Linked DNA regions of Macaca mulatta. The protein of the gene in region 1 purifies or fractionates together with the protein of each later gene. This does not show direct contact. Links are inferred from orthologs where the notes say so. Each region holds a gene or a part of one and is shown in the gene's direction. Other genes may lie near its edges. The genes, in order: LSM14A and DDX6.

Region 1 (3,817 bases):
GATTATTAGGCCTTAATAGTAAAAAGGCTTTTTAAGTACACAACAAATGTTTCTGTACTTGCTGTGATTGCCCCATTGCTTATACTTCTGTAGTGCTTGTGAGCTGTAGGATCTCTTCTCAAAAGCCTTGATAAAGTAGTTTTATAAACTTATAAGATGATTTAATGTAGTACCATAAAATTAACTGTAGCAGTAGGCTTTTTCAAGAAGACCCGTGAAATAAAAAAATTAGCAAGGTTTGGTAGCGCATGCCTATAGTCCTAAGAGGCTGAGGCAGGAAGATCACTGGGGCCCAGGAGTTAGAAGTTGCAGCGAGCTGTGATTGCGCCACTACACTCTAGCTGGAGCGACAGAGCAAGACACTACCCTGTCTCTAAAAAACGAAAACAAAACAAAATGTGTTTTATAAGTGATTATAAAATGTGTTTCCTTAGACCAAAACTTATATAAACCATGATTTCCCATTATAATCCAATGGAAAAATTACAATGCTTCTATTAGTGGTAACTTAATTTTGAAGTGTTAGATTGTGCCTGTGTTGGTTTCTTCGTTTTGATAAATGATCATTTATTTGGCTAACTTTGCCATTAATAGCTAAAATACTATTGCACATTTGGAATTGCATACTTTAGATAATCATAAATTGGGGAAATATTACTAATAAAATATCCCTGAATCATCTGGGTACATAATAATGCATTGTCAGCATTCACTAGTTGTTTGACGCCTGCAAATATGCACAGATGGACAGTAACATTTGCAGCATATTTGGGGGGTTTTTTGCATGAAATGGGCATTATTTTTTTAAGCAAAATATTATATTTTGGAATAAGTATGAGATGTGAGTGCCTGAGCAGAGATTTACAGCAAACATTATCAGGACAGAAAGCATGATGGGAGCACCCGATGTTACATTCTTCAGTTCATGCTGTGACCAGGCTCTGGCCTCATAAAAGGAAAAATATAATTTGTAAGTACAAGTCCCGTTTTTTGTTTTGGCTCTTTTATTTTTGTATTTTTTGAGACAGGGTCTAGCTTTGTCACCCAGACTGGATGCAGTGGACCAATCTCGGCTCACTACAACCAGTGCCTCCCTGGCTCAAGTGATCCACCCACTTCAGCCTCCTGAGTAGCTGGGGTTACAGGCATGTGCCAACACGCCTGGCTAATTTTTGTATTTGTTGTAGACACAGGCTTTCGCCGTGTTGTCCAGGCTGATCTCGAACTCCTGAGCTCAAGTGATCTGCCCACCTCAGCCTCCCAAATTGCTGGGATTATAGGTGTGAGCAACCGCGCCCAGCCAAACCCCATATTAAGCAAAAACTTGCCAAGTGATCTTTTAAAAGGCAAGGAATGAGTATGGCTACTGTGTAATTATCTGAAGAGTTTTGTTTTTTGTTTTTTTTTGTTTTTGTTTTTGTTTTGCTGGCGTTTTAGTTTTTGTTTAGTTACCCAAGCCCCTAAAGCATTAAAGAACTTCACCTGTCTAACTTTCTAGTTCTTTACTTTTTATTTATTTATTTATTTATTTTTGAGACAGGGCCTCACTCTGTCACCTACGCTGGAGTGCAATGGCACGATCTTGGCTCACTGCAGCCTCTGCCTCCCGGGTTCAAGCTATCCCATCTCAGCCTCCTGAGTAGCTGGGAACACAGGCACACGCCACCATGCCTGGCTGATTTTTGTATTTTCAGTAGAGACAGGGTTTCACCATGTTACCTAGACTGGTCTTGAAATCCAGGGCTCAAGCGATCCTCCTGCTTTAGCTTCCCAAAGTACTAGGATTACAGGCATGTGCCACTGCTTCTGGCCCTTTACTTTCTTATAATAGAAATTTAATGGAGATAGTACCTGTAGATAGATGTAAAGGTATTGTTTTAGTCATCTACAGAAAGTACTAAGAAAAATTAAAACAAGTTACCATAGTCTTATGGTTGTTATTGGGGAAAGCCTGTGTTTGACCTGACTACAATATAGCCTTTGATAATTCTAGGGAATCTCGTACCAGGCCGCAATTTTTTTTAAAGGTAAACTTCCACTAAGTAGAAATAACAGATAAAATTGTGAGGGGGAGGGGGTTTTGAAGCTGTTGAAGGTTTTTTTTTTAATTATTATTATTTTTTATTTTTAACCTAATGACAAGCCCACTAAGGATAACCATTCTTAATATCTGGTCTGATAAGTGGATTAATTCAAATTTATGCTAAGGATTTGAATTGGTAGAAATAAAACTGGACAATTTTATTTAGGGTCTAGATTATTTTTGAAATCCCCAATAGGGTAGTTTCTTATCTTTTGGTTACGTTTTAGGTCGTTCAAGCCCTCAGTTAGACCCTTTGAGAAAAAGCCCAACCATGGAACAAGCAGTGCAGACCGCCTCGGCCCACTTACCTGCTCCAGCACCTGTTGGGAGAAGGAGTCCTGTATCAACCAGGCCTTTGCCATCTACCAGCCAAAAAGCAATAGAGAATCAGGAGCACAGGCGAGGTAGAACTTTAGCTGTTTACTGTTCCTTAATTGACTGATCAATGTTTTCCGCTCACTTTATTTTCATTAGAAGGATTTACATCATATGAATGATCCCAGAAAATTAAACTGAACGTGATAGAATGTTCGGTCTTTCAAATTTGACTCAAAGTGTTGGTGGTGTGGGTATTGTTTTTTGGGCATTGCACAGGCTTTGTTTTGGGATTTTTGGTTTGTTTGTATGTAATTCTGACTACGGAAGTTTTTGATGATGTGCCCTGAGTTGATTTGACACTTTGCACGTCTTCTTCTATAGCTGAAGTACACAAAGTTTCAAGGCCAGAAAATGAGCAACTCAGAAATGATAACAAGAGACAAGTAGGTAAGTTCTTGGATCCGAAAGTCATATCCTATGCTTCTCAACAGGGAGAATATTTTAAATGTATGATACATAATTACTATAAAAAAAAGAAAGGTGGGGGTTGTGACTCTAAAGGAGGAGCACAGGGGAGTGTCACTGTGGTGACAGAACAGTTCTTTATCTTGATTGTGATGGTGGTTATGCAAATCTATATATGGTAGAACATCATAGAACTATGCATAAAGACATATCAGAAAATGAGTACATGTACAAACTGGTGACATCTGAGCAAGGTCTATAGTTTAGTTAATTAGATTGTGCCTGTGTCAGTTTCTTGGTTTTGATAATGTACCATAATTATATAAGGTGTGACTGTTGGAGTTTGGGAAGTTGGGTGATGGGCACAAAGGGCCACTCTGAACTAGTTTTTCAATTTTTCTTTTCTATAATTACTTGAAAATAAAGATTTTTTAAAATTTTACCTTTCTGGAAAAAAAATTCTACTTAGTGATAGGCCTTTTTTTTTTTTTTTTTGTCTGAGACGGAGTTTCACTCTTGTCGCCCAGGCTGTAGTGCAGTGGTGTGATCTCGGCTCACTGCAGCCTCTGCCTCCCAGGTTCAAGTAATTCTCCTGCCTCAGCCTCCCGAGTAGCTGGGATCGTGCCACCACACCCAGCTAATTTCTGTATTTTTAGTAGAGACAGGGCTTTGCCATGTTGGCCAGGCTGGTCTCAAACTCCTGACCTCAGGTGATGTACCCACCTCAGCCTCCCAAAGTGCTGGGATTACAGACGGGAGCCACCACACCCAGCCAGGCAGTTATCTTTTAATATGTTCTTGAGTATTTCCTGCTAGTAGGATTTGTTCGTTTATATTTACATTTTCCTATGACTTCTACTTTTGTGGTTCTTTTGTGTCAGTTTCATGTTAGGATTATAAAATCGGTTTTCATTGTTTTCTATGCCTTTGGGAATGGAATTATCTTTATGT
Region 2 (3,817 bases), on another chromosome or scaffold:
CTTTCTTTGTTGTTTTCTTCAGACACACACATAACACAGTTTTTATGACATTGGGTTACAATTTAAAATTCTGTGAGCAGTTCTAGTAAATACTGGTTTATAATGATGTTGATGTTGACTGGTCCTGCTGATTTACTTGGATCTCTGCTATTCATGTAGAATTCAAATGTAGGATACTTAAAACAATACCGAAAAGAGGTATCCTTCAGTGTATTTCAGAGAGGAATTTGCTTGTGTACTAAATTCACAAGTAATTTTGTATTGTCTTATCTCTTTTAGGAGGAGAGCATTCCCATTGCTTTATCTGGTAGGGATATCTTAGCTAGAGCAAAAAATGGAACAGGCAAGAGCGGTGCCTACCTCATTCCCTTACTTGAACGGCTAGACCTGAAGAAGGACAATATACAAGGTTAGTTGAACAAAAGTTTGTTTTTAAACTAAAAATGGGAGTTTCAGCCTTGGAGCTATGTGTAGAAGATACTACGCCTTTTTTTTTTGTCAGAATTTACATTATCTAAAATCTGTATTCTTTCTTTTCAGATTTTTTTTTAGCCTGATGATGGTCTTTTAAAAATGATTCCCAGCTTTTTAGAGATTTCTAGTTTTAAGAGTGTTTTTATATGATACACAGTTTTGACAGCATTCCAGTGAGACAGGAAAAATAAGTATTAGTGCCCTATAGGTAGGAAAGCTGAGGCTGGGCACAGGGCCTCACAGCCTGTAATCCCAGCACTTTGGGAGGTCAAAGTGGGTGGGTCACCTGAGGCCAGATACTTAAGACCAGCTTAGCCAACATTGCAAAACGCTGTCTCTACTAAAAATACAAAAATTAGCTGGATGTGGTGGCACACACCTGTAATTCCAGCTACTCGGAAGTCTGAGTCACGAGAGTCACTTGAACCCAGGAGGTGGAGGTTGCAGTGAGCCAAGATTGTGCCACTGTACTCCAGCCTGGGTGACAGAGTGAGACTCTTAACTCAAAAAAGAAAAGACAGCTGAGAATCCTGAGAGGTTAAATTAGTTGACATTGCTACTTATAAACTATGGAACTATTTCTTGTGGCAGATGAGTGTTAGCAGAATTCCTTGTAGAAACATGAACTTCTGGCCGGGCGCGGTGGCTCAAGCCTGTAATCCCAGCACTTTGGGAGGCCGAGACGGGCGGATCACGAGGTCAGAAGATCGAGACCATCCTGGCTAACACGGTGAAACCCCGTCTCTACTAAAAAAATACAAAAAACTAGCCGGGCGAGGTGGTGGGCGCCTGTAGTCCCAGCTACTCGGGAGGCTGAGGCAGGAGAATGGCGTGAACCCGGGAGGCGGAGCTTGCAGTGAGCTGAGATCCGGCCACTGCACTCCAGTCTGGGCGACAGAGCGAGACTCCGTTTCAAAAAAAAAAAAAAAAAAAAAAGAAACATGAACTTCTGTTTAAAGTCTATGGGTTCTGAGATTTTAAGAGCCTCGGCAGTGGGAATAAACAATTTTCATAGTTATATTCAGTGTAAGTTAATGGAATTAAGATTTCACCTCTGAAACTTTACATTTTTAGCTTTCTTAATCTGTAATTACCGTTTCTTCCCACTTTTCTTTTTTTTTTTTTTTTTTTTTTTTTGAGACGGAGTCTCGTTCTGTCACCCAGGCTGGAGTGCAGTGGCCGGATCTCAGCTCACTGCAAGCTCCGCCTCCCGGGTTCACGCCATTCTCCGGCCTCAGTCTCCCGAGTAGCTGGGACTACAGGCGCCCGCCACCTCGCCCGGCTAGTTTTTTTTGTATTTCTTAATAGAGACGGGGTTTCACCGTGTTAGCCAGGATGGTCTCGATCTCCTGACCTCGTGATCCGCCCGTCTCAGCCTCCCAAAGTGCTGGGATTACAGGCTTGAGCCACCGTGCCCGGCCCCCACTTTTCATATGATATAAATAGAACCTAGAGAGCAGGAGTTTCCTACTTAGGTATTTTACACTGGTGAATCTGACTCAAATGTAGTTGGGGCTCTTAGAAATATTAAGTTAATAAACTTTGAGCTAATAGTTGCCAACTCAACATGCTAAAAGTTTGTAATTAAGAAAGGGTATTGGCTGGGTGTGGTGCCTCATGCCTGTAATCCCAGCACTTCTGGAGGCTGAGGTGGGCAGGTCACCTGAGGTCAGGAGTTTAAGACCAGCCTGGCTAACGTGGTGAAACCCTATCTCTACTAAAAACACAAAAATTAGCTGGGTGTGGTGGCAAGTGCCTGTAGTCCCAGCTACTCAGGAGGCTGAGGCAGGAGAATTGCTTGAACCTCGGAGGTGGAGGTTGCAGTGAGCCAAGATCATGCTACTGCATTCCAGCCTGGGCAACAGAGCGAGACTCTGTCTCAAAACAAAAAAAGAAGCAGCAGCAGCAGAAGGCCGGGTGCAATGACTCACACCTGTAATCCCAGCACTTGGGGAGGCCGAGGCAGGAGAATCGCTTGAGGTGAGGAGTTTGAGACCAGCAGGGCCAACATGGTAAAACCCTGTCTCCACTAAAAATACAAAAAATTAGCTGGGTGTGGTGGCGGACGCCTGTAATCAATCCCAGTTACTCAGGAGGCTTAGGCAGGAGAATCGCTTGAACCTGGGAGGCGGAGGTTGCAGTGAGCTGAGATGGCGCCACTGCACTCCAGCCTGGACAATAGAACAAGACTCCATCTCAAAAGAAAAAGAAGAGTGTAATATTTATGTGATAGTATTGCTGAGGGAAAGTCTAAATCTGGGACACTATAATAAGTTCTCTTTTTGTAAAGAGATTTGTCCATTTGAGTTTTCATAATGTCCTGTGAGTCTTGTGATGATTCAACTTTTAGTTTTTTTGATTTTTTTAGTAGAGATGGGGTCTTGTTACGTTGCCCAGGCTGGTCTCAAACTCCTGAGCTCAAATGATCCTCCCGTCTCAGCCTCCAAAACTGCTGGGATTCCAGGTGTGAGTTACTCACTGTGCTACCCAGCCCAATTTTTTAATACATCTCGGTGTCTAGATTATAAGGGCAGTGTTTCCTTTTCTTTTCTTTTCTTTTTTTCTTTTTTTTTTTTTTTTTTTTTGAGTTTTGCTCTTGTTGCCCAGACTGGAGTGCAATGGTGCGATCTCGGCTCACTGCAACCTCTGCCTCCTGGGTTCACGATTCTCCTGCCTCATCTCCCTAGTAGCTGGGATTACAGGCATGTGCCATCACGCCTGGCTGATTTTGTAGTTTTAGTGGAGATAGGGTCAGGCTGTTCTCAAACTCCAGACCTCAGGTGATCCACCCACCTTGGGTGGATCCCAGCACTCCCAAAGTGCTGGCATTATAGGTGTGAGCCACCGCATCTGGCCGCCTTTTTTTTTTTTTGAAGCTGAGTCTCATTCTGTCGCCCAGGCTGGAGTGCAGTGGCGCGATCTTTGCTCACTGCAACCTCCGCCTCCAGGGTTCAAGTGATTCTCCTGCTTCAGCCTCCTGAGTAGGTGGTATTACAGCTGCGTGCCACCAAGCCTGGATAATTTTTGTATTTTTAGTAGAGGTGGGGTTTCACCGTGTTGGTCAGGCTGCTCTCAAACTCCTCGTGATCTGTCCACCTTGGCCTCCCAGAGTGCTGGGATTACAGGCTTGAGCCACTGCATCATAAGGGGCAGTATTTCTGTAGCTTCTTGAATTTTGTAAATATAATGTATAGTATGTTTTCCCACCTCACCCCATATTTTCTCATATGTTCCTTGATGTTGTTTCAGCAATGGTGATTGTTCCCACTAGAGAACTTGCTCTACAGGTCAGTCAAATTTGCATCCAGGTCAGCAAACACATGGGAGGGGCCAAAGTGATGGC

Evidence for each region.
Region 2: the proteins of LSM14A (region 1) and DDX6 purify together in Homo sapiens (affinity purification with mass spectrometry; 4 studies listed by BioGRID and IntAct, with this or other methods). This does not show direct contact. The link is inferred for Macaca mulatta from reciprocal best matches to the Homo sapiens genes LSM14A and DDX6.

Annotation. Positions count from the first base shown.
Region 1 is NC_133424.1:45,540,617-45,544,433, forward strand, and holds part of LSM14A (protein LSM14 homolog A), read left to right. Parts: intron 1-2,310; coding exon 2,311-2,487; intron 2,488-2,782; coding exon 2,783-2,848; intron 2,849-3,817. UniProt on the Homo sapiens protein: Essential for formation of P-bodies, cytoplasmic structures that provide storage sites for translationally inactive mRNAs and protect them from degradation. Acts as a repressor of mRNA translation. May play a role in mitotic spindle assembly.
Region 2 is NC_133419.1:119,445,884-119,449,700, reverse strand, and holds part of DDX6 (putative ATP-dependent RNA helicase DDX6), read left to right. Parts: intron 1-279; coding exon 280-409; intron 410-3,723; coding exon 3,724-3,817.